Linked DNA regions of Drosophila melanogaster. The protein of the gene in region 2 interacts with the protein of the main gene of each other region in a pairwise test. Each region holds a gene or a part of one and is shown on either strand. Other genes may lie near its edges.

Evidence for each region.
Region 1: the proteins of CG13840 (region 2) and mnd interact in a two-hybrid assay, tested with the Drosophila melanogaster proteins (one large-scale study listed by BioGRID).
Region 3: the proteins of CG13840 (region 2) and wap interact in a two-hybrid assay, tested with the Drosophila melanogaster proteins (one large-scale study listed by BioGRID).
Region 4: the proteins of CG13840 (region 2) and CG7655 interact in a two-hybrid assay, tested with the Drosophila melanogaster proteins (one large-scale study listed by BioGRID).

What each region holds. Positions count from the first base shown.
Region 1 is NT_037436.4:14,982,402-14,992,818, reverse strand, and holds mnd (minidiscs), read right to left. Parts: upstream 7,720-10,417; 5' UTR 7,665-7,719; intron 5,408-7,664; exon of another isoform or gene 5,238-5,407; 5' UTR 4,868-5,237; coding exon 4,570-4,867; intron 2,971-4,569; coding exon 2,752-2,970; intron 2,674-2,751; coding exon 2,078-2,673; intron 1,990-2,077; coding exon 1,603-1,989; 3' UTR 1,152-1,602; downstream 1-1,151. Other genes in the region: Zip71B (Zinc/iron regulated transporter-related protein 71B), read right to left, coding at 204-347; CG5114 (uncharacterized protein), read right to left, coding at 8,395-8,608, 8,699-8,906, 8,969-9,884.
Region 2 is NT_033777.3:22,812,975-22,819,368, reverse strand, and holds CG13840 (uncharacterized protein), read left to right. Parts: upstream 1-3,190; 5' UTR 3,191-3,331; coding exon 3,332-4,732; 3' UTR 4,733-4,886; downstream 4,887-6,394.
Region 3 is NC_004354.4:22,450,059-22,458,860, forward strand, and holds wap (wings apart), read right to left. Parts: upstream 5,365-8,802; 5' UTR 5,216-5,364; exon of another isoform or gene 5,002-5,215; 5' UTR 4,604-5,001; intron 4,529-4,603; 5' UTR 4,527-4,528; coding exon 4,336-4,526; intron 4,133-4,335; coding exon 3,673-4,132; intron 3,615-3,672; coding exon 3,433-3,614; intron 3,371-3,432; coding exon 3,172-3,370; 3' UTR 1,387-3,171; downstream 1-1,386. Other genes in the region: tilB (touch insensitive larva B), read left to right, coding at 1-805, 978-1,190, 1,252-1,369.
Region 4 is NT_033777.3:17,679,115-17,685,143, reverse strand, and holds CG7655 (uncharacterized protein), read right to left. Parts: upstream 2,476-6,029; 5' UTR 2,356-2,475; coding exon 2,029-2,355; intron 1,970-2,028; coding exon 1,535-1,969; 3' UTR 1,371-1,534; downstream 1-1,370. Other genes in the region: CG31251 (uncharacterized protein), read left to right, coding at 299-399, 457-989, 1,049-1,335.

The DNA.
Region 1 (10,417 bases), on a different chromosome or scaffold from region 2:
CCCACACATTGTTTTTGTTGCTGGCCCAAAAATGACAAAAACGAGAGAAAAAAAAGAAGACACAAACTCACTAATTTTTTGCCATAACGCTAACCGCAAAAGCTTTGTCCCGTGTCCGACTTTGTTTACCTGTGTTTACCTGTGCTCAAATTACGCTCTTGTGTGTGTTTACAAGGCTAGTTCGATGGTTTATTGGTTATTACCTCAAAGTTGATTGTCCCGCCGTTGCCGTATTTTTGAAATATCTGCGCCACGTATTTGTTGTATTCCGTGGAAGCTGGCACTGTTTTGAAAAATAGTGAGCCCAGGCAAAATAGGTTTAAGACTAGCACCTGCTTTTGGGCCATCGTAATGGACTGAACACTCAGGTGGTGGTAGATAGTATTTCTCTTTTCGTTTTATTCTATTCGTTTTATTGAACCCGGTTATCTACTGGTCACTCGTCATTTCACTGGGGGCTTCACCGGGATTTTTTCGAGTTTTTACAGACGCGTGCGATCCGTAACACTGCAGCCAACTACCGATCCCGTTCAACGGTCTTTTGAAATGACAGTTTCGCCCACGCAACGTTTTATACGACTTTCGGTTCGACGAGCGTCGGCGCGTTCTCCTTTCTCCCTCTCTCCTTCGCCCACTGGGCGGGCAACTCATCGCTCTGCGCACTCGCTACAAACTTAACTGTCATTTGGATTGAGCTTTGGAAAAGCTTTCGCCGGACCATCAAATTTGAGCGCCAAAAATTAATAAAGTCGATTAACCTGTTCATCGGCTAAACTCACATTAAATAGTGTACTCAGCCTTTAAATTGAAAATACTAAAGTTTTACACTTTCCTTTCATAATCTTAAGAATCTGGCTAAATGTTATTATTAAGCAACAATACTTTATACTAAAAACTATCCGGTAGATTGTAACTATGAAGAAAAAGATTGCATACCTAAAGGCGTTGTAAAGGCGCTTTCATCAAGTAGTGAGTTTTAGAACTCGCTGGAGTAGGAAAAATAACTAGAAAATGAAAATATTTAAAAAAATTAATAAATATTGTGGTAGATAATTATGATACTTTAAATAGATACCATGCGAAATGATATAAGTTACTTTTTTACCTTTAAAATGCCAATTTCCGCCCACTTCACAAAAAGTAATAAGATTAAAGTTTAATGTGTTTATTATTAACTTTCTTATACAAAACAAATTCGATTTTTTACATTTCGCAAAAAGTTGCATCAATAATAATTATTACTTACTGAATAAGCTCCTAATTACTTGTATAATATGTAAAAATTGGTTCGCATTTTGTATAACAGGCGTACTTCTGCTTTCGACGAGGAACTCATTTTTTTTGGGTTTGAAATATACATTAAAAGTACGACTAACAAATAATATTAATTGAAGCAGGGACTTCCCTACCAGAATGCATTTGAGTTATTTACAATAACACTTTTGTAATGTTGTGCGTAGGTTTTCAAAATTTCGCGTTGCTAACCTATCTTAGGGGTAAATTGAGACTTATCCTAACTACAAGATATTCCCTTCTATAGTTGCGTTGATCGATACATCCACAAAAGGCCCTCTCTTCCCAAAGTCGTAGAGTCCTGCAGTCCTAGTCGAACTTCTCCTGGTTGGGCATACAGATGAAGAATTTGGAGCACCACAGGTTGATCGCCTGCGAAGTGTCCGCCAGCCATTTGACCGGTTTGTGGATGGTCAGGTAGTAGACCGGAATTCCAGACAGTATAATGATCGTCCCGATTCCTACCACATATGGCGTCTGCGTGCAAGAGAAGATGACCAGGAACAGGCAGACGATCAGATAGATGATGGGCAGCGCCAAGTTGACCTTGATGGGTCGCTCCGTCTTGGGTTGCTTGTAGCGCATCCACAGCAGTCCGGATACCGAGATCAGCGTGAACAACGCCTCCACGTAGCTGACGTAGTTGATTAGTACGTAGACGTCCTCGATGAACAGCAGCAGCAAGGTGAGCACGCCCTGGGAAATTAAAAAAAGAAAAGAACATGATAATTTGATAAAAACAAATATTTATAGATTCTTTACTTAGGTTAAGCCTCTAACTTACCAGGAATATCAGCGAGGGCACAGGTGTCAGGCAATTAACGTTAATCAGCGAAATGGCGGCCGGCAGGTGACCATTCCTTGCACCGACGAAGAAAAGTCGCGAGGACGCGAAGATCGCTCCATTCAGCGAACCAAAAGTGGAGCAGGCCACAGCGAAGGGCATAATCCAGGACATATACCCCAGCATCTTGTCGCCAAACGTGACTGCCACTGCATCTGACGAAAGGATCTCGTCTGGCGAGAGAACCGAAAAGTATGCAATATTCGTGATCATATAGATGACCGTGACCACCGGCATTGAGATGCAAATGGCCTTGGGCAGGTTTCGGTACGGATCCTTGAGCTCCTCTGTTACAAAGTTCAAATAGTTCCAGCCGGAGTACGAGAAGAGGCCGCTATAGAAGGCCAGGGCTATATATCCAGGATCTTGAAGGCCTCCCGAGAAGGGATTATCCCAGTGCTCTGTGTTTCCATCGAACAACCACCAGACTCCGGCGCCAACGATCACCAGGAGGGCAACCACCTTGGTGCCCGTAAAGATGTCCGTCACACGCGTAACCCACTTAACATTATAGCAATTGATAAGCGTCAGCACACCTAGGGTGGAAGATCAAGCAATTAGTCAATATAGTCTATGCCTAGTCTCACCACCGATTAGCTATCAGCGAATCTTACATATCATGGCAGCCGCCAGCAGCTGAACAGCTTCAATGGGCGCGTCGCAGGAAGGCCAAAAAGGTTTCAGCAGATATATGGCAAAAGTCAGAGCCGTAATCGCATTGCCCGTGGGCACCAGGATCAGCAGGGCCACCCACAGATAAAGGAACGCAGGCAGAGGACCAAATGCAGTGCCTATATAGGCATAATCTCCGCCTGATTTGGGTATCATCGTGCCTGGAAAAGTTAAAATATTAGTTATAGAAGAAAATTTGCTCATTACGGCGTAGTTCACGGGGAACATCCCAAGAGAATAATGTTTAAAAAGTGATTAGGCTAATAGAGAGCAAACGTTGACAATCTGATAAGCATGACACAGTTCTGAAAATGCTTTGAGGTATGCATTTGCCTATCTAAGGAGGGTTGTTCCAGCAATTGGAGAAATTTTGGAAACGCTTAAAAAGCGTGTACTAACTATTCCATTTTTTACGACCATCCTAGTAATTGGTGATAATTTTATTTTATTTGCTCTGTCCATTCACTTCATTAAGATTTATGGAACTTTATTTAGTACTTAAATAGTTTGACATGAAAAGTTAGAAAAAGGTAGCATAAATATTTGATTTTCAAAAATATGTTCAAACATTCTGATCAGATCAGATTGAACTTCCATTGATATTTCGAAAAGCAAACTTTAAAAATTATGCTAATTTGTGTCTGCCGAAAATGTATGGTAATGAGTGTCTGCCTGGCTGATTGTTAAAAAAAAACGTGTTTTAATAATGATTACAAAGCCATAAGCAAAGATGACGTAAAAGGAGAGAAAAAGCGATAAGACTTTTTTCTTTGATTCTCTTAAGTTTTGTTGTGGATCAAAGATATTAAGAGAGTTCCATTCAAGTTTCTATTTGTTTTCAGATCTTGAAAAGGTAAATTTATACCTTCGGTTATATATGTATGTGAATTTCAATAGAGAGGGTTGAACATTTGAATTTACCCCAGGAAACAAAGAACACTCGCTGTATTTCCGATAATATGAATATACTTATTCCAAGTTTTGAAGCATCCTGTACTTTTCTGAAGAGGCTCAAGTGCTAATTAGTTGATAATTGAATGTTTCGTCGGTCCCACTATCAATTCTAATTCATCATTTTGCTGGGGAGCTGGAACTGATTTTAATTTTTGTGTGTGCCACTTGAAGAGGCATTTTTAATGGGACCGAGCTAATTCCATGCCTTAAATGTGTCTCCATGGTAATTGGTTGGAGTAGTTAATCTCAAAAGATTGTCAGTTCGAACCAAAGGTCATAGAGATTTTCCGCTTCTGGGTCTTGGATCTGGACCGATTTTAATTGGAAATAAGCTGAATTTTCCTGTTTCTTTCTACAGTACAAAAACTGTGTGCTGTTTATTTGTAGCACTTTAAGTACCACATGTTGCTTAAACTTATTTTAAAATACTCAAATCGTAATCTTGAACTGATTTTTTTGGTGCTTGATATATATAGCTTATCTCTGGCCTTAACCTCTTTAGCCCATTAGTACTGACTTAAGCATTCTGGGCGACCAGAGCTCTTGTTCCATTTTTTTCTCAAATTTGTGCTGTGTTTGCTACAGGTGCTTGTCTTACACCTATGTAAACAACTCTCCCACTACATCCACGCACACATACCATATGTTGACCCACCGATTGCTGTCATCAGCGGGAAGCAATAACTGCCAGCTCCGCAGAACATTGTTTGAATAGGCGTGGGCTCATTATCGGAAAAACAAAAACAAAAACTATAAAAAAAACCGAAAAATTCCTAAAGCTACCCCTTACATGTAGCATTACTCACCCAATTCGGCGTAGCATAGGGCGCCCACCATGCTGAGCACTCCGCTGAGGACCCAAACGATGAGGGATTGTCCTATGGAGCCGGAGAACTTGAGCACTCCCTTGGGACTCACGAAGATGCCGGATCCGACAATTACACCAACGATGATGGCCACTCCATCGAGCAGGCCGATCTGCTTCTTTAGCTTTACCCCGGAACCCTGACTGCCGCTGTCCGCCGTGGAATTATTGGGTTCCGCCGGAGGAACCTCGAACACCTGGCGGGGAATCAACGAGTCGCTGGCCTGAACTCGCGCCATTTTTTGCTCGGGAGATGTGCGGCGTTTTTTATGGGTGGTTCTTGGAATACGGAATATTTTTTGAATTTTTATGATTTTTATAGGGTAACTCTTCCGATTTACAGTGACTGGCCGTCGTTATGTACACAAGTCCATTGCTTTTATCGGGGGTTTCTCGTACTTTTCTCGGTTTCGTTTTCTTTTTTTTTATCAGCACAGGCTAGACATGTGCCAGCGTGGAGCTTCCAATACAGTTCAGTTCGTTTGAGTCCACATGGTTTTATTCATTTGTTTCTGTTGTTTTCCGATTTCAGTTCTGTTTTGTTCACCACTTCACTTATTCCAATGTGCGCTTCAGTACACAAACGCACACATTTGTCAAGGGCTCGCTCTATATATTTAAAGACGATAAGGTATTAGAATCCACGTGGTTCTATCATGTTCATCTCTTCGAATCAAGATGAGATTGGGTATTATGAAATTTGGGAAACCGAAAAACCGGAAGATCCGACAGAATATCGGATGGAACGCACTGCTCGCGACGCGCTCTGAGTTCAAACTAAGTTTGGAATACGAATTTACCCCCCTTTATGAGCAAAACGGCTGTCGCTCGCTCAACTTGGGCTTTGCATTTGACTGGTTTTTTTTTTTATTCCATTTAGGTAAGGCGGCGCGGAAAGCAGCTGCTGCTCTCTCGCGCTCTTTTGGGCCATAAACATCTTACCTGTTACCTGCCAAACCAACTTTCCACCGAAACATGCGGCAAATCGCATGATGCAAGACGCCTCAAACATTTCGCTAGCCAAAGAAGTTTGAGAAGTTTACGATTGTGTGCCAAAAATAAAGCACGTGCGGTCGCCTAAGAGAGAGTCGCCGGCAATCTCTTAAGTTAGTTTCTCTTTCGCCTTAGTCATTGACCTTTTGTTTGGGTCCTAAATATGTGCGCATTTTGTCGAAATCTTTAGCCACTTTGTTGTCACTGGCTATCCCATGTGCCAAAAGACATTAGCTCAATGATTTGTTTAAGCCTTTAATTGCACCTGATTTAACGGCTTTGTGGGACAAATACTGCAAGTGAAACTTGCCACAAACTATTTGTGTGCACAATAATTGTAACAAGGTTAAATGTCACATTGTGTTAACACGGAATAAAAGCTTTCGATAGGAGAGATGACCGTAAACTAAATACAATACAATTAATATCGTTCGATTGCAAATCAGGCTAATATATGATCATTTTAAGACAGTTTAGAATATTTGTTTGAAATATGTATATATGAAATATTGTATATGTATCCCTTAGGCAATGTCTACTGTATGCGCGGCGATTTCCGGTAAAATTGTAACTTCAAAAATGAGGAAGTCGTTGATAAGAAGCCGCAATCCCAGTTAATCTAATACTTTTTTTCTTTTACTGTAACTGTAAATCAAATATCAATTAATTTTACAGCCGTTTGTGTATGGAGATTTATGGGGCTAACCGCAGCTGAAGAGAGTTACGGATTAGTTAGTTAGATTACCCAACGGAGACCCCATTTAATATAAGGCTTCTTTTGTTGCTCATTTGACGACGATTACTCCAATGGATTCGGCGGTCTTTTATGCGCCAAAATGCTCATTAATGCAAACCGAGCGACTTTTGTTAAACACTTGAGCGGATTATCATGAAGTGTAGTTTCGTTGGTGGATTGTGGGGTGGGGGGTGGGTATGGATCATCGCCAGGCGCGTGCATTTGACATTTCAAACTGTGATAATTCAATTGTGTGAATCGTGAACCTTTAGTGCCCGACCGACTGACTGGCTATATGGATTAGCAGCTGCCCATCTTTACCTCCCTCGCGACCGCCATAAAAACTACTACAAATAATAAACAAAGCAAGTGTAGCGCCTCCGCTCAGTTTAGTGGCTCAGCCAGCGGGATGGGATCATTTTGGATACGTAGAGCTCCTCTGGTAATCTAATTGTAAAAGAGACACACAGGGCGCTGTTTTTTTTTGTATTATTCGCCGGTGTGGTGGTGTCGCCACAGCCACAATTACAGTGCTTTCGGTGGATCAGTTCGGGCCCCCGTTTGTGGTTGATTAACTGTGATTTCGTGTGACTTTTATTGTCGCCTCGTAGCTGCGGGATATCAGCTTTAATACACTTTCGGAGGGTATTCTAGCTATAAGCTCAAGAAGAAGGATATGGACATATACATGTCATTAACATCTATTGATTCATCAGATTTCAATGTTTATTCAGACGGATGTCTTAACTAGTTGATTAATTTTTAAAATATATGATCTTTTTTAAGTTTAATTTTATTTTATTCTGCTATTTTTGAATTTTTCATTTCAATTTGATTGTAATTTTAATAAATCGGATATGATCACTTTTGCACAGGATTTGTAAATTCTCTCATAGTTTTTATAGGGTATTCCAATTTTAGAACTCAAAATTAACCCTTTCTTTCTTGTTACTTTTTTTTAACTCCCCCGCGCCGCACTTAATGTGTATATTTTGAAAAAGAAAAATATGATGGATCACTTCCATATGCAATTTTCGTTAATATTTCGGTGAGGCTTCATCATATAATGCCACGAGTCATAAGTTTTCGTGATTACCATTCCACAGGGTAATATAAATGTACTCAAACTTGCGAATGAACATTGTAAGTTTTATTTATAGCTGCAGAACTTTGTGCTATTGCTTTATTAAATTTAATGTAATTCAAATATTCACTCGCTGCGCTTTAAATATTTGCTTATGATATTTTCACGCAGTTAAAATCCCTGGGAGACTACGTTTTGAACCGTTTCAGCATTATTTTTTTACCCGATAGAGGGAGAACCGTTACCCATTCGCACTGATAACCCGATGCAGACTGAGTCGAGAATTCCATCCGTGGGTCGCTCTTCCGAAAAAGCTTTAATAATATAATACAACAGAAAGGTAAATAAATATGTAAATCTGAAAATTCGTTTTCATTTTTTAGACAATTGTTCGCCTTTGTGTGCGTGTATGTGTGTGGATGTCGGAGGTGAACGACAACCGACAAACAAAAACATAAACAAGTGTTTGTCTCTTTGGATGTGCTCCCAATGCAATACGCATGTCACATTCTCCCTAAGAGAACCAGATATTGAAGAGAATTCGTTGCAGTTGCATTTAGAATGCACTTACTTCTCATATACGCTTCCGATTAAAACCATAGTTCTGACCCATTAAAAAGTTAAAAAACAATAATTCTTTTCCTAACCCAAATTGACAGCATGAAATTAAATTTCCTTACCAATTTACAAAAACTTCAAATAGTATAATATTCTTGACACAATGCAAAAAAACCGGAATCCTTTTCAGTTCTATTTTGTTACCCCAAACTGTAACCTTCTTTGTGTGTTCTATCTTTAGTCAGCCCTGTGCCTCCCCCCTTTTTCTTGTACATATATGGGGCAAGTGTATCAGGACCGCCACATGGGTTCATTGCACCAGGCTACTGAGATAAATTTTAATATGTATTTACTATTTACATATATATAGCACAGTACAAAACTTTAAAACCTAACTAATCGCCCAGCGCCGGCACCTTGAATATCTTGGCCGTGTTGTCCTCGGATACCGTTAGCAATAGATTTTCCTGAGGCTTGTAGACAAACTCGTAGATGTGATAGTAGTGTCCCGTCAGCGTGAATTTCAGAATTCCTGTGCGTGCGTCGAATGCGTTCAGATTTCCCTGCGAGGTGGCCGCAAGTATCGTGTGGTCGTTCAACCATTTGATCCTGGAATAATTAATGCAATTAGTAAGCAACAACCAAATTAAAAGTTAAATCAAAGTTATAATATTTTTTACAGTTTTATGCGGTGCTCACCTTATGACAGCATCATTGGGAACTGGATTTTCGCATATGGTACGCAACGCTGATTTGGCATAGTCCCAGATGGATATCCTGCCGTCCAGCGAGCCACAGGCAAAGAGCTTTAGATCCGCCGAGGAGGGAGCAAAGGCCAGACACTCAATTCCGTGTTCCGACTGGATTGTGCTAACCGGACCGTTGTTAGTGCAGAACAGCATTTTTCCTGAACGAAAATAAATCTATTAGTTGCCGTTTATATGCAATGGAGAACATGATTGCTTTTACTAATAGTTTTGTTATGGAAACTGGTATTATACCGAATTCCTTTACCACTGGAGCACTCACCGGACGCCTCAGCGCAGACGTAGAAGGGCGATTCCCTTTCGCAGGCCACCACCGCGTGCGTGATCTCGCCGAAACCCATTGGATGCGATTCGTTTACGTCAATGAGCACCTGACAGCTCTTGAGATCCCACAGCTTTACGGATCCGTTCACGTAGGCCGTGAACAGCTTTTTGCCATCCCCACTGAGCTCTCCGGACTCGCAACGCGAAGATTGTCCCGGCAGGATTTTGCATTCACCGCTGGGTATGCGGAAAACGAAGACCTCTCCGCTGTCACTACCCGCCAGCAGGATGTGGGCAGCTCGATGCCAGAAGAGCCAGGACATGTCGCTCATGGAGTACTCCCAGATTTTAGTCAGGATCGGACGTTCGTCGTGCTTTTCACTGACCTTGAAGACAAACAGATCGCCGGCTAGATCACCGGTGGCCAAATAGACGCCGTCGTGACTGAAATGCGTTTCCGTGACGGTGTCCTTGTGCTCCGTGATCTCGTAGAGGACATCGCCGGTGGAGGTTTCCCAAACGAAAGCTCGATCGTCCTCGCTGCCCGTCACCGCCCAATTGTAGTTGGGATGCAGACTGCAGGCGAAAACAGGAGCGGTGTGCTTCTTGAAAGTGACCGTAGCTTCGTCCGTGATGGCTGCTATTCTCTCACGGTCACGTAGCTCCTCCTCGTCCTCCTCTTCATCATCATCGCCACCGGCCATTGCAAGCCGGGCCTCCAGTTGCTCCAGCGTCACCTCCTCCAAATCGTCGTCATCTTCGTCCAGCGGCTGCTCCTCCAGCTCAATTATCTCCTGGAGTTCGTCGTCGCCGTCATCGAAATCTGGCCGGTGTGGCGGTGTGTTGTCACGCATTCCTATTCTCTTAATGGTCCAAATAGCAAGTTAAGCTGCATAAAAATAACAATTAAATGAATGTATCACACGTGCTAGAAAATCAATGGTCTGGCAACTCGTTCGCCAATGTTTTTTAAACATCGATTGCTTGTTGGGACTATCGACTTCGTCGATTATTTTTTTAGCCAAAATACAGTGTTGCCAAATGTCAAAAATTGAGCGGAATTTTCAAATTGAAGCGGGCTATGCTGACACGTTCATCTTGGTAGTAAAACGTAAGCAGGTTTCATGATAAAATCAAACTATATTTTGGGGGTGTTATTTTTAATTCATTTAATGCAACAACAAATTGCAATAACGAGGAAGCCGATTAGGAACTCTAAAGTAAAGGTTTATAGGTTTGACCTAAGATGTATTGAAATTTGTTTTTACTTTGCGTTTGTTTGATCCTTATGCACAAATGAACAAAAGATGTTCTTAAAGCTTAATTATATTTAACGATGTTAAAAATGTCATTAAGCAAGTACTTAAATTAATGCTTAGTATATATT
Region 2 (6,394 bases):
GCAGCATGCTTTTGGCCAAAAGCGGAAGGTAATGAAAAATTTCATTTTTTCAACTTCCCCCTCCCCCCTCTTACACGAAACCATGGTCACTTTGCCGCACATTAGAACTGTTGATATTTATTTAAAAACCTGGCCAGCGTTGACATTCAAGTCAATCGAAAAGTTTGCACAAAACGCGAGGCGGTGTCCTCGGTCACCTGAGTCAACAGCAAAGCGGAGTGACTCTCTCCATTTAGCAAAAATCAAAAAAAAAAAAAACAGGCAATGAAATGCTGCCAGTTACTTTTGCCAAGGAATTCCAAAAAAGTTCCATGAACCAGTAAATAAATGGGGAAGCAACGTAGCACTGAAAAAAAAGTGTAGTAAAGATTTTATAACTATATTTACAAGGCAAAGGTTCTTCATAAAAAGAAAACTTTTGTAAATGCAAAAAAGCATTGTAGAGTAAAAAACTTTTTTTTTTAATAATTTACCTCAACTTTCTAAAATTTAAATACTGTTTACCTAACTGAACTATCTGCATATCAAATGGCCTATAATTTGATTAATCAAACACTATAGTTACCCTAAAATGCTTTTTAGCCAGCTTTGATTGGCATATTTCATAAATTCATATGCATATATAAATATCTCCATAAAAAATGCAATAACGAAAAAGGGTAAAAAAAAAATGCGCATTTCAAATTATAAATTCAAATTCGAAGAATTTAATCACGTATACGAATTTTTCCTGTGCCACAATACGAAATAATAAAAGTGCCTCAAAAACTTTGAGCCCCTGCCCCGCGAAACCAGGACCGCAAATTGTTTAAAACAAGCATTGAACAAAAAACTCAAGAAGCAACACAAACAGGCGGCTCAATTCCAGGAATAAAGCCGAAGGACATTGAATAAACTGTACGGTGAGGAGGTATGAGTGGGATGTGGGGACGGTAGGGCAATGGGGGACGACACTTGGCATTAGGGCCCAAACTATACAGCCAAGGCCAAGTTTTGGGCCAAATCTTTGTGGGGAGTGGACCAACAAACGAGGACGGAACGACCATCGGCATCGACGGCCGAAAGGCAATGGAACCGTAAATTCTATTGCATGACTTGATTAAATTCGCATGCAACGATGACCGTCGACCCCGAGTCACCCACAACATCGGAGTCCGCCGTATCCGCCGAAGCCTCTGAGTCCCCCATTAAAAAAAAAAAAACCCACCTCCGAGCGGGTCAAGCAAAGGCCAGCGACGTTGCCAACTATGCCATAGCTGGAATTTCTTGGCTATTTGCTGGCTGCCTTGGCTTCTGTTTTTGCTGGCTGCTGGATTTTTGCCTTTCCTTCGACCGTTTTCTCATTTTAACGTTTTAACGTGACTTAATGAAGTTTCAGTGTCACAGCAAAATCTGCTCCTGCTGCTCCTGCTGCTCCTCTCCGCCTGTTAATTTTATGATGGATTTTATGCAGAGCGCGCCAAAGAAAACTTTGAACTTTAATAAGTATGTGTATGCAGGCATTTAACTTTGCCATCGTTTTGTCGATTTTTTCTACTCACTTTTTTTTATTTTCTGTTCTTTTTTTTTTTAGTAGATTTTTTTCTTTACACATTTTGGCCATGTTAAGCTGGGTGGCTAGCTGGCTGGCTTCTTTTCTATGGGAACTTTGCTAAAATATGCTTCACAGGGCTTGAAAGCATTTGAAGTAATGAAAAAGAAGCGAAAAAAATTGCATCCAACAAGTATAACACACACACTCTCGTTCCAGGTGATATGGATGGGGAGGTTTAACTGTACAGTGAAGCTGCGCAAAATTTAACGAAGCTTAACCTCATTCAATGTGAAAATACACTTTACTTGTACTTTGCGCTGTTATTTCAAAAGTGCGGTGACGGTGGGCGTTGCTGCTAACGCCGCTCTAAGGGGGCGTGGCTAAGGTGGGTCTATATATATACAAATATATATATATATATGTATATAGAGAAAGGTGGCGATGCGAACCTGGTGAACTTTGCAAACTTAAATGCAGAGCAGAATGATGAATGATCCAAGGATGCCAGGCTAGCAACGAAAAGAACTCGCTCTATCTCCGTTTTTCGCCGACTTTCCCTTGATTTCCCGCCAGAGGCAACTACTCGCAGAGAAAATCACAAATATAAGATTAAAATCGGAAAATAACACTACAATACTTTAAACGAACTACGAATGGCAGAAAACACAAAAATGGTAACTAAGGTATAATATATCTATGTATCACATATTAAATGTATCTTCAATTCTACAAACCTGAATATAGAAATATTATAATCTTATATCAACTATTTTGCTGAGTGCACTATAAAATCGCTGAGAATGCTATTCCCGCAAAGGTTCTTTAAAATTGAATCACTTTAGACCCAAAGTGCATTGTCAGCTTTGAGTGAGTGAAGGCGTGGCTGGTAAATTATGCAAGAGCAACGATACCAAATGTCGTCGAATGCATCCAGATGAAAATTGAAAGTGCTGCAATCCGAGATCTCAGACGCGTTTCAAATCTCCGGCGATTGCACTTGGCAAAGACCGGACCGCAAGCACATGAAGCGCACGTCACCATTTGTGCAATCAAACATCGGAATGGCCGCGACATTGACCGCAAGCTGCCACACAGTGTGAAATCCGATGCGGCTGGGAGCCAACCGGTGCACAGTGGTTACAGCTATGTTGAAAATTATCAAATATTATGCTAGCTTAAAAAGGAAGCAATATTTATGCACTCAAAACAAAACTTACTTAATTTAATAACTTCATTTTTACCATTTTTATCACATCCACAATAGATTTTCTTTTTTAATTTTTGAGCCCTATTAGACCACAGTGCATAGGTCGATGTGCATTGCGGGCTAGCAATTGCGGTATAGCTGCGTATTTTGTGATTGCGAATTGTGCGGACAGCGGATCGCCGCCTCACTTGCATCTGAAAGGAACAACCAGAAAGGGACTATCTGGAACAGTTGGTGTGTGCCGCCGAGTGAAAGTGAGTGCCTGGGCATGGGCTTCCACTTACACAATCCATGGTGGATTGGCCAATGAACTTGAAGTGCCAACGAGGATATCCAATTACAAGTAGAGCGCTCCAAGCATTTGAAGAGTGTGTGTGTGCTATAAAAACAGCATCGCGATGTCACAAATTTGCATTTCAAAGCGGAGCAACACCCACGCCAGCTGCATCCAAACACGCACTCCGTTGGCGGATTGGAACAAAGGATATAGGACACAGGAGTTCAGGATTTCAGGACACACACAACCACCCAACGTTATGGGGCGGCCAAAATCCGGCCAAGGCTTTGGGTCACCTGCCACCAGTTCATTAATGATCTATGCATTAATGTGGCTCGCTTTGGCCATGACAATGGAGGCCATAGATGCCCCACTGCCCCTATCCCTGGCGGAGTACCCGCTCGGCCTGTCGCTGGAACATGGCAGCAAACACCATTACCAGGATGCGGGTGTGGACTCGTTGCCGGGATTAACAGGATATACGCGAAATTATTATGGCCCCACTGACACTGCAGCCGGCGATGACTTGGCAACATATGGAAATTATGCTCACAAACTCCTGGCCGCCACCCATCAACAGCACCATCGCCATTCGCAATCCTCCCTTGGCACCACGGCCAATGGCTTTGTGCCCTTCTACTACAACAGCAAACTGCACTCGCCATTCACCGCGGATGAGGAGCCGCGTCGCGACCCATCCGCCAATATCGATTTTGTCATTAATACGGCAAATTATGAGCCAAATTCCGCTGGCTACGATGTGGAGCCACATCATGGGGAGCAGCACTACGAAAGCTATGCATATCGGCCGCGGGTGCAGTTTGCCACATCGCTACCCGGTCCCAGCGATTACCATTTCGAACAAATTTCCAATTACCGGGAGAATCGCCAGCGGGAGCAGGAGGTGGAGCAACATCAGCAGCAGCAGCACCAGGAGCAGGAGGATATTACTAGTATCTATGCGCGGCTCAAAGAACTCCAGACACCGGCCAATCCAGTTAAGCGTCAGCAGGAAGAGTCCCTATCGAGTCATCATCCAAACCGGGAGCAAAGCCAGCCACTGGAGCAGCGACATTATCAGCAACCTGAAAGCAGACAGCTGCAACAGCCACACTTGCAACAACATCTGCAACAAAAGCGGCCACATGCGCTGCAATATCCTCAGGATCAACGGCATCACCAGCGCCTGGGAGTTGCCCAGGACCAGCAGATGTTGTACTCTCACAAGGATAGCCAGATTGCAGATCTCCCAGCCATAACCACCAGTGTGCACCATACTCCGGAGAGCAGTAAAGCGGTAGCCGGATTGCCGTTGGCCAAGCACATCGAGATCACTAAGAGTGTGCCCATCACCCACTATCAGAAGCAGCATGTGCCCTTCAAGCAGAACGTCCAGGTGCAAGTGCCACGAACCGTGATCGCAGCCATACCCAAGCCCATGCCCATCAAAATACCAGTGGCCCAAACGGTGGCCGTGCCCCAGATGCAAGAGGTTAAGATTCCCATCGAACGGGTGAAGCCGGTGCCCGTGGAGCGGCCCATTCCCTTTGTGGTTGAGCGCAGGGTACCCTACCGAGTGGAGAAGCCGGTGGTCTCGCCAGTTTATTATCCGTATCCGGTCAAAGTGCCAGTGGTGCGCACGGTGGTGCACAAGCAGCGCCCCCACTACGTGGCACCCGGCTGGAGTGCCAACGGCAATCATCTGCTGGGATGAGTCTATCTTAAGAATAAATTCTTAAGCCAGTTTTATACCCTTGCAAAAGGGGTTTTTTGATTTGTAAAGTAAAAGTACAAACTGTAGGGTAGTCGATAAATATATTTTTGGTGGAATGTTCTTAAGTTGAATTAAATACATTTATTAATTTTTCATGTTATGCAGTTTGATTAACGGCTAGAGTATTTCAAATTCAGCTTATGCCTTAATTTCTAGTGACTGAACCCCAAAAAGTAATTGCAATTAGCAAAACAAGAAGACAAAAAAGGCCACCGACAGCAACTGCAGTGTGGCTGCAAAAGCATCCAGCATGCAACTCCTTGATCCCAAATCCAAGTTTCTAACTCCCAGTTAACAGCTACCAAACAAAACAACACATTCGGAGTCGAAGTTGAAGTTGGAGTCACAGGGCAGGTCCCAAACCGAAATGAAGAAAAGTAGCCGAGTAAAACTTTTTAATTGAGCTAAAATCCAACAAATGCGGCTAATAAATATGTATTGAAGTGCGATGGGCAGAACGAGGCTGAAGTCCGGTTGCAATGCAAAAGGGGGCTGCAGCGAAAGTGCAAGAAAATGCAGCGGCTAATTGCCAAATGTAACTCCAGTTGAAACAACTTTTAACTGAAACAGCAGAAGGAGCAACAATGACGCACAAATAAACGCGACGTTCAACTTCGCCGAGGCGTTAACGAAACAGCAACAAAATTAGCCAAAAAGTAAAGTTCCAGCAAGGGTCGCGAAAAGTCGGGCCAGTAGTTTCTGGTTGGGGAAAGTGCTGCAAGTTATTGCCGGCTAATGAAATTAGCCCTAATTGACGTGGGAGCCATTCGACTCCATTTTTAGGGAGGCGAAGTGAGGAAGAACTCCGCACCCACCACACACAATATATGTAATATTCGGCAGCAAAGGAGAATTTAAGGAAAATGTTTGGGGAAAAATGAGTTCAAAGATTTGGGGTTTAAAGCGCTTTGACTACTTACTTAATACTCATTACTCAGCCACCTAGCGGTAGACCAACAAACCTAAGCTTACTGAGTCCTTCTTTTTCTTGGGAAAATTAAACGTTGGAAAATAGTTGCATTACTTTTCTAGCTGTGTACTAAATTTTGTAAATTCAATTCGTTGCAGGCCACATTATTAGCATTTATAAGCCACATACCTATGCTGAGGAAAACCGCAAAGCGACGGAAACCAACTAAAAATCAAATATAATAAGCATGCGTGCAAATCAACGCTTTTCCGTGAATCCCGCTGCTACACATGTAGTTGTGCAGTGGGTATGCAAATAGTAAATGGCGCTTGCAGCCGAATAAATGTGCATAAATTCATAATTGCACTGCCCACATTAACCGCTTCGTTAGGAATTTTGCTCATCTGACCACTGGCCACCACAGCCGGCGGCCGTTGGTCCCGTTTTCTGGCCACCGTAGCCCAAATCCAGTGTCTAACGTCCGACATCCAGGACTTCCCACTTCGCAGGCCAATGACAAAAGCCACAAAACGCAATGAACATGGCGCTCCGGTTAGATAGTTGACCGCGAATCTGCTGATGAGTCCCTCGTTTGTGCACATGTACCCTTTAACCCCGTAGCCGTTTAAACCCATAACCCTTTAACCCTGCCGCTGACATATACACATGCACATGCCAGATCAACAAATTGA
Region 3 (8,802 bases), on a different chromosome or scaffold from region 2:
GTCTAATCAGCACGCTGGAAGAGATCTCCTTGCACCAGGAGGACATCGAGGTAATTGAACACATCCAGAACTGGTGTCGCGACCTCAAGATCCTACTCCTCCAATCCAACCTGATTGCGCGCCTGGAGAACTTGCACAAGCTGAAGCGCCTGGAGTACCTCAATGTGGCCATCAACAACATAGAACGAGTGGAGAATCTGGAGGGCTGTGAGTCGCTTAGTAAACTGGATCTTACTTTAAACTTTATAAGAGAGCTAACCAGTGTTGAGTCGCTATGTGGCAATTACAATCTCCGCGAGTTGGTACTCATTGGTAATCCTTGCGTGGATTATCCGCACTACAGGGACTACGTGGTGGCCACCTTGCCACAGCTGAACAGTTTGGATTGCGTGGAGATCACTCCCTCGGAACGTCTGCGAGCGTTGCGGGAACTGTCCAAGAACCGGTCCATCATTGTTCAGAAGCAGGTAGAACAGGACATCGAACGTGATGAGCAGCGTATCCGGGTGGCGAAGCAGCAGTCCGCTCTGGCTGAACATTGTGCCGGCATAGAGGACGAAGAAGAGCGCATAAAGGCCTTTTGGCAGGCGAAGAGCGAGCACTGCCCGGAGATTCGCACAGAGATCGCTCGGCAACACCGATTGGGACGGGAGCGGCACGAAACCAAGTCCCCACTGGACCCTCTGAAGCCACAGCGCAACCTCTTCGCTCCTTGTGGCAGACCCTACAATCTGAACCAGGCCAAACTGCCCTTTAAGTTTCGGGATGAGGCCGACCATTACTTGCTCCAACTGGAGGTGTACAGGTAAGCTAGGCTAAGATGTCTTAACCAAACTTATACATATCTTACAAGTTATCACCAACATATTACATATGTATATCGATATTGGTATTGCTTGATCGTTTCTACGCCCCAATCATATACATACACTTCAAAATTCTTAATTAATATTGCATATGTATATTCCTTCGCCCAGACACCTGGATACCTCTCTAATTGACGTCGATGTGCAGACCACATACACTAGAGTCACCGTCAAAAAAAAGATCTTCCAGATCGCGTACAGCGAGGAGGTCAAGCCGGATGAGTCCACTGTGCAGCGTTCCCAGATTACAGGTCACCTTGTGGTCAATCTTAAGAAGCTAAAAGTTAACGAGCTGCTGATAGCCAAGAAAAGCCCGACTAAAAGGTAAGTTCATCCAGTTCATTGTATATCATGAACCACAAATCCTAGCTACCTTTTCATGTAGCCCTGCCGCCCCTTTTGATGCAGGAAAAAAAGATGGGAAACCGGAGGAAGCGTTTCACGGAGGAGTAGTGGACATCAGCAACATTTGTGCACCCGAAGATCTTCCCGATTTAATTTGAGACTGTGTTCATTATTTAAAAATGGTTTATTTAAATATTTGTCTGATTTGGTTTGTTTTCTCAAACTCCTCAGTGATCTTTTGTTTTGTTTGGTTTTTGTGATCCATCCATTCCATCGATCAATCATTAGCTTTCTAGTAAATACTTTAGCCCGATCGGATGCTCATATATATATGCGCTTGAGTGTGTGTGTGTGTGTGTGTGTGTGTTTGTGTACATATACATTTCATATATAAATGTAACGTAAGTCGGATAATGCAAAACAGGGCACACGAAAATAAAGATTAAATTAAAAATTATATTCTAACTTGGTTTTTTTTCGATTATTTTTTTTACGGAAACCGTGGTTTGCCAAATTAATGAAAATGTCTTCGCCTAGTGGCTACGAGCGTATAAAATATATCCAATTCCAAATTCCATAGACTTGATTTCAGTTTCTTACTCTTCTGCAGCAAACGAAAAAGTATTCGGATATGAGGATATAAATTCCCGTGAAGTGGCCTCTTAAATGGCTATACAAAATCAGGGCCTAAGTTGGTTTTCGTTTAAAATATGCCTTTCATGCTGTATTTACAATACACGATCATCGGGATTATTATTACTGCTATCGCTTTCTGTATACATATTTATATATAAGTTGTGAAATTGCTATAAATTACAAGATACATAAAAAAAATGTATTCGATTTTATCTGAAAAAGTCGCTTTGTCCTGTGGAAAGTATGGGATGTGGTTAAGATTTGAGATTATTGATGGAGGGTCGTGTCTTATCTGAAATGATCATAGTTTGTTTGCTTATTTTCGCTCGTTTGTTAAATGGATATAGCAACAATCTTGTATTCTCTCTCGCTCATATATTTCGGTATTTGTTTTATCTTTTAGTTTGTATCTTTAAATAGTATTGTATTCTAGCTGTGTTGTGTGCAGTTCGTCATCAGTTTCCTGGTTTGGTTTTTAATCTTTAATCTATGTAAGTATTTCGCTTATTTCTTTAATTCATTTCATATTATGTTTGTTTTGCAATTGCTTAAGTCCATGGTTTTGCTTTTGTTTTTCTTTATCTCTTGTTTTTGTCGTTTTTCCGTTTTTTGGATCTGTTACAAAAATCGAACAAAGTAAAAATATTTCGAAAAAGCGTTGTTGCCGGCTACTTTTTTACCTCTCATTTTTTGTTCTCTGTGTATTTTTGTGGTTGTTGCTGTTTTGACCAGACTCGAAAACTCGATTAACAGCATTCATGTTTGAAAAAACGAGGTAGGACATTGTGTTATAATAAATATGATTTCTTTTTCTTCTGCATTCCATTTGGGTTCGTATAAAAACGAAATAAAAAAGATTAAGCGGCTCTAATTGATTGGAGTTTTCGGGGGTGTGAGTGTCGGGATTTGTCAAGTGTGAAATAAACTACAATTATAAAACATATTTTGGTTATACCTTATATAATTACATACTTGTTAGATCAACTCAGCTAAGAATTCTAGAATAAGTGCTTCGTCCTCTTCTCTTTCCCTCAAACTCATATCTTTCTTTTAAGCCCTTTCTCTTTCCATTTCTCTGCCTCTATATCCGTCACTTTCACATTTTCTCTCTCTCGACAGACAGTAAAATTAAACAAACTGCGGACGCGTGTTGACAGAACTAATCCAACTTAAGCTCACTGCTTTCCGCTTCCAAGTTACCAACAGCAAATGTATGTTTATTTGTGGGTGTTGTGTGTTTTTCTGACTTGCTTCTTTGTTGACTGTGCGTTGTTCAGCAATTGCAGTCAGGTGCTTCAGCAAGGACCAGACCAAAAAAAATTACTTAGACCCGCAGGATCTCGCACGCTTTGTTATAGCAAATGGCTATCCAGTCGGGCTGTGTGGCACCCCACTGAATCTGATTGACTTCGCCCTCGGCAGCTGTATAGGCTAAAATTGGATCCTCGATTGCACGTGGCATTTGTTGTATATCCCAGATCAGTGCTTGGTGATCATCACCGGCAGTGCAGATGTGACAGGAACTGCAAACCAAAATACAAATTGTTTAGGCACATTTTAGGTTTAAGGAATCTTATAGTCTCACCTATGCGGCGCCCACGCAATACCGTTGACGCACGCTCTGTGATTGCTCAGTCTTGCAACGGGTGTACAAGGAACACGAACATCTAAAATTATTACTTCGCACGAGTCCATGGCAACGGTGGCTAAGTAGTTCGGGTCCTGTTTGTTCCAGGCCAAGCGCAGCAGCGCCGTATGAGCAGGATCCTATTGGATTTATCGTTATGTAGTCATCCGTTTTTGTGTTTTCGCGCGTTCTACTTACCTCATATATAATGGTCGAGTGCTCCAAGTGCCGCAGATCAAACATGCGCACCGACCCGTCCGCTCCCACCGAGGCAAACATGTCCCGACCGCCGCCGGCCCGCGAAAAAGCAATGTCGTATACTTCCTTGTCATGGGCAATCAATTGCGTCTTCACGTGTCCTGCCACATAGACGCGAGCGTGCGGCTGTCCGGTCTCCAGTCCCCAGATAGTGCAGGTTGTGTCTATCGATGAGGTTCCCACCAGATTGGGATCCACCTCGTTCCAATCAAACGAAGTGAGGGGAGCGCAAAAGTCGCTGTTCTTGTTGTTATTCAGTACGCACTCGAGCCGCGTGTCCGGTTCCCCGGCACGCCACACCCGCAAGTAGTCGCCACTGGTGGCCAACAGATCCGGATAGACACCCTTGGAGTCCGGGATCCACATGATCTTGGTTGTCGGATATGGATGATCAAAGGTGCTATTTGAAGAAGAAATAATCTGTCAGTGAGGAAGGGGATTTCGGAAAAATGGTTCGTATAACCAAATAACTATTCATATTTAAAATGATTACAATAATATCAAAACTGCTTATCATTTTATATTATTTTTTAAAGATAATATACGAAATATAAAATGAAAACAGAAAGTAGAAGGGATCAGCTAAACAAATATTCGGTATACCTCTTAGCACTAAATTCGCTGGTGTCCTCGTCCAGGCTGATGATCTGTACCTTGTTGTTGTACTCCTCGATGAAGCTGCCCAGTGCGAGCCGGAATCGCTTGTCCGGCCTTACACTCCAGTTCATGGAGTACAGTGGCCATGGCGCGAGATATTTGTAGATCTCCTTGCGCTTTCCGGCGGTCGAGGACATAACTGTAGATATGGAAAAGGATCAGCATGAGAATCTAGGACTCGTATTCGAATTCGGAGTCTGGATCAAGAACCCACCTGAACTGTGTGATTGGATACGGATATCCAGACCAAGACGAAGATCAAGACTTGGATGACAAGGTGCTGCTGAGTTTTCTCAATGCCGTTTAGCTGGTGGCCGGCCTAATGACGACGAGCTCCTTTGGTGATGATGACGACAATGATGATGATGGCTGATAATGACCACTCACAGCAGCGGACAACTCAAGAAAACTTCATGGAATGGGAAACAAAGGTCTTTGCTTGCCACTCGCATTTGCACACTTTACCGGCTTGCTTTTCCTTGGCTTTTCCTGTAGCTTTCCTCTTTTCCGAGATTCACATCATTTTGTGCACTGGCAGTATTGCCAGCTCGCCCGTTTTCCGACTAGAGTCCGTCCGTCCGTTTGCCGTCGTTATTCCGGCGAAATTTAGGTCTGGAGGACACCGATCGGAGAAGTCGAACTGTACTCAATCAACAGGGCGAAGGAATTAATTCAACGGCGTGCACATCGCGACCGCAACGCATCCGTTTGGCCAGCAAGTGGAATTGTGCCCGGCACTCCGTATAAGGTGGCAACACTAAAACGTAATGCGACGCGAAAATTCGTTTGTGGCGGTCCTTCGATGGGCAAGCTGCCCCGGTTTTACCTTATAATTTGGTTAAGTTTCCAATCCAACCACAGTTTTCTGAAACAGCACGGTCGGAATTACACGGAATTAGTATTCAAAGAACTTTTAATACATTCTTTTCGACAGAATTTTCACACAAAAACAGTGTGACCGCGCAGATAGCTATAAGAAATACCTTGTGCAAAATCATTGTTATATACCAGATAAACAAAATACTATTTATTTAAAACAAAATTCTGTATTAAATTATATTGAACTGTAATATATAATATTCTAGGCTTGACTTTAGTCTAATTAAGAATTGAAAGTTGTGTGTTTATTTCCACCCAGAAATCTTTTCCCTGGAACTGGAAATATAATTCGATTGGCGTTTTGTGCAAAAACTATTAAGTTTGAAGCATATTTTTCAAATCCCATATGATGGAATTCTGTGTAAATGGAACATTAAGAAGGCCTCTGCTCATCTGTTAGCAAGTACACCAACCATACATGCATCAGGCATAGTTCTTCGATAGTTATCGAAGAACAGTTAACCTATCTTCAAAATCTAGTGACGGTGACTTCGTTTCGGCGTGCGGCCACACTAGCAAAAAAAATAGGATTAAAAAGTGAGTTCTGTGTTGTGCAAAAAAAAATTGCTTTAATTCGACCGGAAAAAGGCCCTTTTGCGGTGCAAAACGATGATGTCGCTTGGCTGGCGTTAAAATTTGTGGGATATCATTAAGAGACGGGACTTTCGGCAGCGCGACCTCGTTCGCCTCGTGATGTTCGTTTTGCGGTCAAATTTTCACCTTCGCCACCCATCCCCTCGCCCATTTGTTTTCTATCTTAGTATGAATTTATACACTTTATATACGCATTTGCCTTTGTACATTTTTTGTGTTCCGTGGATGTATGAAAAATTCCTAATAGCCGTCGTCGTCACTTTTCCACTTTCCATTTTGAGAAAGATATTTCACTTTGCGTAATTCGTACGCTGCCTGGCGCCTGTGTGTGTGTGTGTGACCGTGTAGCCAATAGTGCTACATCGCTCGCGCGCACAATCTCGGCACTGTTTTACTACTACCCTGGCTCGCCCCCTCTCCCTCACACATTTCACTGCCAAACGTACGCGCGTGTGTGAGTGCACCTTTTAAAAATAGAATCTCATTTCGTTTCGTTTTATATATTGTTTTTGCTTTTATCACAATTATTTCGATTTTGACGTGCAAAGAATGTATGAGTTTTGTGTCTAAAGAAAGCGGCTAATCGTGGTAACCGTTGAAAAAGTTCAGCTACACCTGTGGGTACTCGCGTGCGATTGTGTGAGCTTGGATAATTCAATTTTTTTAAGTGAATGTGTGTGAATGGGCTGTAGTGTAGTTGTAGCATTTTATGAACGAAAGATCGATTCGTGAAAGTGTGGCCATCTTATGTTAGTTAAGGCCTACCACCCGCTTCTCCCATCCCCCTGCACTACACCACCCGCAGAGCCTTACACTTGTGCATGTATGTATGTAAAAGCAACGGTTTTCTCGAATGGGAGCGTAGACAGCCTGGCGGCACACACACGAACGTAACTTCATTTTAAGTGTTACCGCATAAGGACAGCCGTCCGCGTCCCACACCGCCCCTACCCAGTTCAGCCAGCCAGCGTCACACTGAAGTTGTTGTTATGGCAAACTTGAAAACGGCTTTTCTCTATTTATTACTATTTTGCGATTGTAAACAAGTGTCGATCGGTTTTCCACTCTCCGCCTAACTGTTCATCAGGGACAAATCGAAGGCCACAAATTCCCGAGATGTGCGTGGGTGTTTTTTGCGCTTGTGAAAAATCAATCGTGGGAAGGGGAAGAAAGACGAGGAGTTCCGCTTGAAGGGTTTCGCATTATCTTATGCAGAATTCAAGATAACCTTGCGCCTGCAAGCCTTCATTTCTCCAATAAGTGAATCAAATGTAAACGGACAAGGTCTTGACAATTTAGAATTGTTTGCACTACTAAAAGTACCGTCATAAAAATGTGGTTTTGATTAAAAGATGTTCCCTCATTAGATCATTTACACTGGGCATTTTCCAATCTTTTGGGTATATTTTTGATAAAGAAGTTAGAATATTATGGTCCGATTAGTATGAGGTTTTGAATTCGAATTAATTTGATAAATAGGGCCTTCTAAAATTCCATTCTTTTCAGTTTCGCCTACAACTTTAGCAGCAACAAGAACGGGTCTTAGATGTAGCACATATGCAGCCATTAAGTTTAAAACTAACCTAATCCTAGGGATATAATGCGATGATAATGTAAATAACGTGACGCAGGTGGGTACATGGACACGTTGACGCTGTGATTTCCATTAATGAAACTGAATTCCGCCGTATAGCCCACGAAAAACAGAGAAAGCGAAGCAAGACCGGAAACAAAACAGGAATCATCCGCTCAGCAATACCACGTGCTGCCAGCAGACCAAGGACACTCTCGACTTCATCCGGAACCCGGGGCTTGATCACTGCCGCTGCTGCCATTAATATGCGTGTAATTGCGCCGCGTAGATCGTCAACGTCAGCGGCGGGCAGCGGCAGTCTCTACGGTACATCGGCGGTCGGCACCTCCAGCGGCAGCACCACCAGCAGCAACTCCACCAGCGGCAGTCACCACATCAGCATCACCGGAAGCGGTGCGGTGGATCGGACCAGCGGAGGCGCCGCCACGAACGGTTACTCCCGCATATCGAGCAGCTACGACCGCGGCAGCAGTCTGTCCAAGTGGCTGCCCACCTCGTCCGGCGGCTCCAACTCGTCGGGCTACGGCAGCAGCTACTATCCCACCTCTTACTCAACGTTCTCCGCCAACAGCGGCTCCTCAAGCGCCTCGTATGCGCCGCGCTCCAGTGTGCAGAGGAGCAGCGTTGGTACCACGTCGTCAACGTCGTATATGAGCGGCGGATCCGGCAGCAGCTCGTCCGCCTACCGCACCTCCTCGTATCTGAGCGGGTCCAGCTATGATTCACCTACGTACAGCCGATACGGAGTGAGTAACACCTTGCTTACCTCATAAGATGTACCTTGATTTACGATACACCCACTCCTGGTCGATTACTCTTAAGTTTGGTGGCTGATCTCTTGGTTTTCAGTAATATCTCTATGCGAATCCTGTATGCTGGGCCCCTGGTATAACTCTACTCACTGCCTTATCCCCGAAATCATCATGTGTTATGTATCTGCATATTTGGTGAATACGCATTTTATTCAATATGAAAGCTCGATAAATTGGTGTGAAGGCAGTTAATCAGTAGCATGAAGTTTAATGTTATGTTGTTTAATTCGAATATAGTCAAAAACATCAAATCCTATTCACTTAAAAGATAATTTGCAATGCGATTTAGAAATATGTCATTAAAGGTCAACATAATGTCTTGATTTGAATCGATTTGATGGTTGCTTTAAGTACTTGTACATTCAAAGAAATAGCAGTGCAAGAGAAACTAAGAAATACAACGGTATTTTTCCATGTCCCTTTTCGGGATCGACCTTTTATTCCACCTTTTTTTGTAAAATGGAATGTTTAGATAGAAAAAAAAAGTCCCGTTAGTTTTTCGTGTTCTCCTTATTTTATTTACATTCTTGAGCA
Region 4 (6,029 bases), 5.1 Mb from region 2:
GGGAATGGATTTGGAAAATAAGGCGACAACTATCGATATACCAAGTTTGTCGCAGGGCTGCCAACTTGATTGTGTTAACTAAACTAGGTTTTTTGTTAATTCGATCAACAAATGCTTTATTGACCTTATTTTCTAATAGAACTAGATTCCTATTAATATTATATATGTTGACCACACTCTAAAATCTTTAATATGTATCTATCTTTTTAATAGCTATCGCCGATTTAAATGCATTGTTATCGATAGACGTGAACATTAGATGTTAAGTTAAAAGCGGCCGGTTACTATTCTTACAAAAATGGACTTTCAGCGAAACGATGCTATGCTCATGGAAATTCTGCAGGATCGGAAAACTATTACAGGTTTCCTGGACTCCATTTTCGGATTTCTGCGACGCAAGTAAAAGATTTTATCTCAAGATCCTTAACAAAACTGTAGTCCCACTTCCCTTTTTAGCACCGACTTTTATCACACAAAACGCGATGAAGCGGATAAAATAGGCTTCCCCAAAGGCGTGAGGGATCAGATTCTATATGGCGCCATGCAGCGCTACGATCCGGATTGCTTGCTACAATCCCTGACCGCGGAAGGCGGTGCAGATGATGGAGAAACGGCTCCGCCTGCCGTCGAAGAAGTGGTCCTGGAAAGCGAAGATGGTCCTCAGGACGAGGAAATGAAACCCATAGAGAGCCAGCCGCCACAAAAAGGGAAGGAGCAGTCAAAGTTCTCCCCCAGCGACTACAAAAACGGAGATGTGTTCGAAACGCACTGCTGGTCACAAACCCTCAAGGATGTGGAGGTGCAGGCTCTGCTTCCCAAGGATCATCAAACGGCGAAGAAGCTGCACATTTCAATTCAGGCCCAGCACATCAAAGTGAGCAGCAAGCATAGCCCAGAGACGATCATCCTCGAGGGAAACCTGAGCCAGCGGATTAAACACAAGGAGGCGGTGTGGACAATTGATCAGAACCGATTGATCATAAGTTACGGTGGGCATTCACCTAAAACATCTTTATAAACCATTTTCATAAACTGTATATAACTGTAGATAAAGCAAAGGAGCTCTGGTGGGATCGGCTCTTCGAAGGTGATCCAGAAATCGATTCCAAGAAGATTGAATGCGAACGCTATATAGATGATTTGCCGGAGGAAACCCAGGCCACCATAGAAAAGCTTAGGGTCCAGCAGTTGGCAGCAGACAAGCAACAAAATGAAATTCAGACCTCAAGTCCCGACCAAGCTATAAACCTGGATCGCCTGAAAGCTGCCTGGGATGCCGAAGGTTCGCCGTTTAAAGGACAGCCCTTTGATCCTTCTATCGTAAGAATGAGTTAAATTTTAAAATAATTAATTAAGCTAGCAATAGTAGTAAAATAGTAAAAACTGAACCATATATATTTTTATATATCTTTTAGTTTTTTCATTATTTGTTTCGTTCTGATTCGGAAACTGAAATTGTTAGAAAAGTATTATTCAATACAAACTCATGTCAACTTACAACTAGATCTTAGTAAGAACACTTTTGAGATTAAGTTTACTTGGCCTTCAGTTCGAGTTTCTTGCGCTGCAGTTGAATCTTCTGATAGGCCACATCCTTCTGATCTGTGGACCAGGCCAGGTACATGTAGGTGGTCAGCAGCAAGGCCATGACTAGCCGATCCACGCTCATCACATTCGTGGCGAACAGGATGACCGACAGGCCCACAAACGAGGGATGTCTGACATGGGCGTACAGATTGCGCAATTCCCCGGATTTGTAGCTGATGGGCGGTCCGTAGGCCTTCAGATCGTAGTAGGCTTGCTTGACGCCCAGCAGCTCTGGCAGATCCATCACCAAACTGCCGCCAAAGATGACAACCCAGCAGATGCCATGGGTGATCACGAAGGTCCACCAAAGCGGAGCACTCTGCTCCACATCGATTTGCCACAGAACAATCGACTGAGCGGGCAGCCAGTTGACGATCAAATACTGAAATGTCCAAAGTTGCAGTTGGGAGCTATTTCTGTCCAATTTGTGGGTATACAAACATGTAAACAAAGCGATGACGTCAGGCTATAAATAGTGCGCTCCGCACCCGACAATCCCAACTTGGCCAACAGCTTCTTGACCACGGCTGACTTGAGGAAGCTGTGCTGGAAGATGAATCCGATCAGGTAGAGGGTATCGAACACCACGGGTCCATAGGCGGTCTGCAGGCGCGACTTGTTGTCCAGTAAATTGAAAATCCAGGTGTGCGCCTTGGAAATCGAACGAGGCGTCGAAAGGAACATCATCAGGCTGCCAACCACGTACAGGGAGTAAGCGAACGTGGCCAGGGATGCCAATAGTACTATGGACTTGGCAATCGATGTCATTTTTGTCAGGAAAATTGAGAAAATAGCTTGTTATTTCGAGATAATCAAAACAAATTCAATGAACGTTTCGGTGAGCTAATCAGTGCGACCATGGCACAGTCGCGATAAAATCTTCGGTGAAGAATTTCAATTTGGTTTGTGTCCACGATAAAAACATCGCTCTCCCCACGTAGCGTGTCTCGGCTACAAAAACATAGCGCATTTATCCGGCGGCTTGAGTCATCGCTAGTTGTCCAAATTTAGGACTATTATGTGACTGGCGCGATTTTTGGAGTATGTCGCCACGGTCACTCTGTTTGCAAATGTTTCAATTTTCCCACTAACGAAAAAGTGTAAGTCCGCAGCCGAAAGGCATAAGAAAGTTGAGAAAAAGTTTAACAGTTGCAAGTAAGAACTGGTTTGATAAAGCGTATCTAAATCCAAGCAAAGTGATGAAAAAACTGTCGACGCGACAACCCAACACACACACACACTCAAACAGGCGCAGCGCTCCGGCACACATACACAAGTGGCTTGCAAATGGCGGATGCGTTTCCAACAAAAAGAAAAGAAGAAGGAAAAGAAAGACTGCATTGTAAATGTGAAATGTTGTGAAAATTGTTGACGTTGCAAGTGGCTTAAAATCGGCTGAAAATCAGCGTTAGAAGTATAGAGACTGGAGATAAGAAGGGGAGAGCGGTGTACATGTATGTGTGTAAGTGCAGTGCGACGCCCTTTTGTCTTGAGAGGAAAAAGGAAGCCACTACTTTATTTATCGGTGTGCAATTATTCAAGGTGCCAATTAGTAGTCGACACACTTTCACTGCTCCCCATTGCTTAATTATGAGCAAAGGGGACAGCTGACTGCTTTGATTTGCCAAAAATCTCGGGCGCCGCCGTCTGGCCGGGGCCCTGCCCCCGCCCTTTCCCATTTGTTGTTCGCTGATTTTATCAAAGAAAAAGACAAGAAATGAGCATAATTGATGCGCTGACCTCACCACACACACACACATAAGCATATGCGGGCTTATCAAAGGAGCGAGAGCGGAGCAGAGCTCAAAAGAGAGAGCGGAGCAGAGCAGCTGCAGTCCAATAAATCATAGACTCAAAAATCGTTCGTCATCGGGGAAAACCAATTGACAATCAACAAATGCTATCGACGTCTACGTCAGCAATCAATAATCATTAACCGCCAGCTTTAGACAATATCAATTTGCCTATTTATAGCCTTTATGAGTCACTCCACATTTTAGACCAACCTTCCATCTGTGGACCAAAAGAAAAAATTAGGGAAACGAACTTGGAACCTGACGCTCCCACGCAGGAATAACAAGAAGACACCACACACCGCAAAAAACATGCCACGCTTTCTTTCCCACAGAGATAAATAAAGCAGCATTGCATGTTGCATAAATATTACGGGAGAAAAAGACGAAAAGTAGGGAGCAGTGCTTTCTAAAATTAAAACTCTTGAGCCGCTGAAAATAGCAGGGGCAAAAAATGCATTTATGAATAAATAGATGAAAAATAATGAATGAGTGCGAGTACGCTCTCGCTCAGCGGTGACAGAGAGAGCGAGGAAAGCACTTGCACCGTTATCAGTGATGCTGCTGCGAAAGCAAGCTAGTAAAAGTATAATTTCAAATTATTTTTTTATGAAAGAACAAAAATAATATAAAATGGAGAACCCGGTTAAATTTTAGATAGATTGGAAGTTTTCAGTTTTAAGAAGTTATTAGGATATGTAAGTTGATTATGAAAAACAATTTTTTTTTAGAAACAAATCTAGACATTTATAATTCGCATAAGGACTTTAATAATTATACACAGTTACGAGGATCAATAACTTTTTTATTTCCATTTGAAGAGATGTAATCGCATTGGCGAATACTTGACCCACTTCAAACACGCTGCCTTCAAAGGCCAGAAAATGGTCAACTTGGCATTTCTGGCCGGGGCTCACCAACAGGGGAGAAATTCCATGTGCCAGCAAGTGCGAGTGTGTGTGTGAGCAGGCAGCTAATTGAACACTGGGGCGCCGCAAAAGAAAGGGGGAGGGAGGGAAGCAACGGCACAGAAAGATAGAAAGAAAAACGGGAAAATTAGGCCAACTGTGCAGTTCGATGTCAGTTTGCCAGTTTGTCAGTTGGCTGTAACGAGGCCGAGCAGCCAGCGTGTTTTGCATGCTGTTCGACCATAATACATAATTATTTATAGATGGTCATAATGATAATTGGCAGCAAGATTTCGACTTTCACACACTCGTTTATACAAAAACTCACACAAAAACACTGGCCAGTCACACTCACGCACACATGGGCGCTTTTCTTCCGGTTGATGACCTTTACCGGCGTTTTTATTGTGCTTTTTATTCTCTTTTGGCTTTGGCTCTCTTCTGCCGCCACCGCTTCTGCTGCTTCTTCCTCCCCCGCCTCTATACTCACGGAATCGGAATCCGCAGCCCGGACTTTACTTACTTTCCGTTAAACGCCATCGATTTGTTTGACGGAAACCCGTTTCCATTGTGCCATTAAATATTAATTTAACTTTGTGGTCAGTCCACCCATCCGTAATAATGAATGTCGGTTTCATAGGACTAGATAATAGACAATTGGAGTTGTAAAAACTTTCATAAATTGTAGTGAAGATGCTATGAACCATCTAAATTGTCACAATGGTCGCAATACAACAGTTGGAAACACTAAAAATGGTTACATTTGTTAATAAATGAAATCAAGAGTTAGTTATATGTAGATAGAGTAAACCTGGAAAGATTTGCTGTATACGGATTATTCATCTACCCAGTATCACGTAACCCAGTATTTTTGAAAGCCCCTTAGAAATGTTTGTTGATTGTGGATAAGAAGAAACAGAAACACAGTCAGTATCTTTTAGCCAGAAACATGACGCGAGCCAGCAAAGCAGCAGAAATAAGAAGCCAGAACTTGACAAGCCAACAGAGGAAAATAAATACCCGACCTGCCAGTTATCGCAGCCGCAGAGAGCAACAACCTTGAATTGAAATTTTTGCAATTTGTGAATTCTTCCACTGAGCTCGCGGAGTCAGCGAAATTTCAAGTTTTGTTCTAACTGTGGTGGGAGCGAAGAGAGAAAAGTGCCACGGAGCGCAAGCACACTGAGAATAAAACGTTCTGTTAGTAATGTTAGTATTTTTTATTTCAAAAATGTACAAACTACAAATATATATTATTTTAAAGTTTCAAAGATAACTGGGCGGAGTAAATATATAAACGTATTTTATTTTGATGATACAAGTAATGTTATCGCATATTTTAAACTCAAGACTTATTGCAAATTTGTTTGCTGATTCTTCAATAAAATCTTGCTCTCATAAAACGTAACTTGCACTTACAGAAAACATCCAGAAAATAACCTATTCAAAAATAAATATTTAGTCGATCTTGGGAATTGCTTCAAGTGTAGAGAGCTGAGGAGAGATCTCGAATTGCGAGCCCAGCTCTGCTGCGAATCTTTTCACTAGCCTTTGGCATTCGCATCGTGTCCATTGGAAGAGACTCGTGGAGTTTAACGAAAATAGATTAAACAGTGTTGATTTTTTTTGCGAATTGGCAAATTTGCATACGTGTGCGTCAGAATCTAGACTTTGAGTTATTTTAAATTGTTATTCTTTTTTCGGATTGTTATGTGAGTTCCTTTCAATCTGCGTCAACACC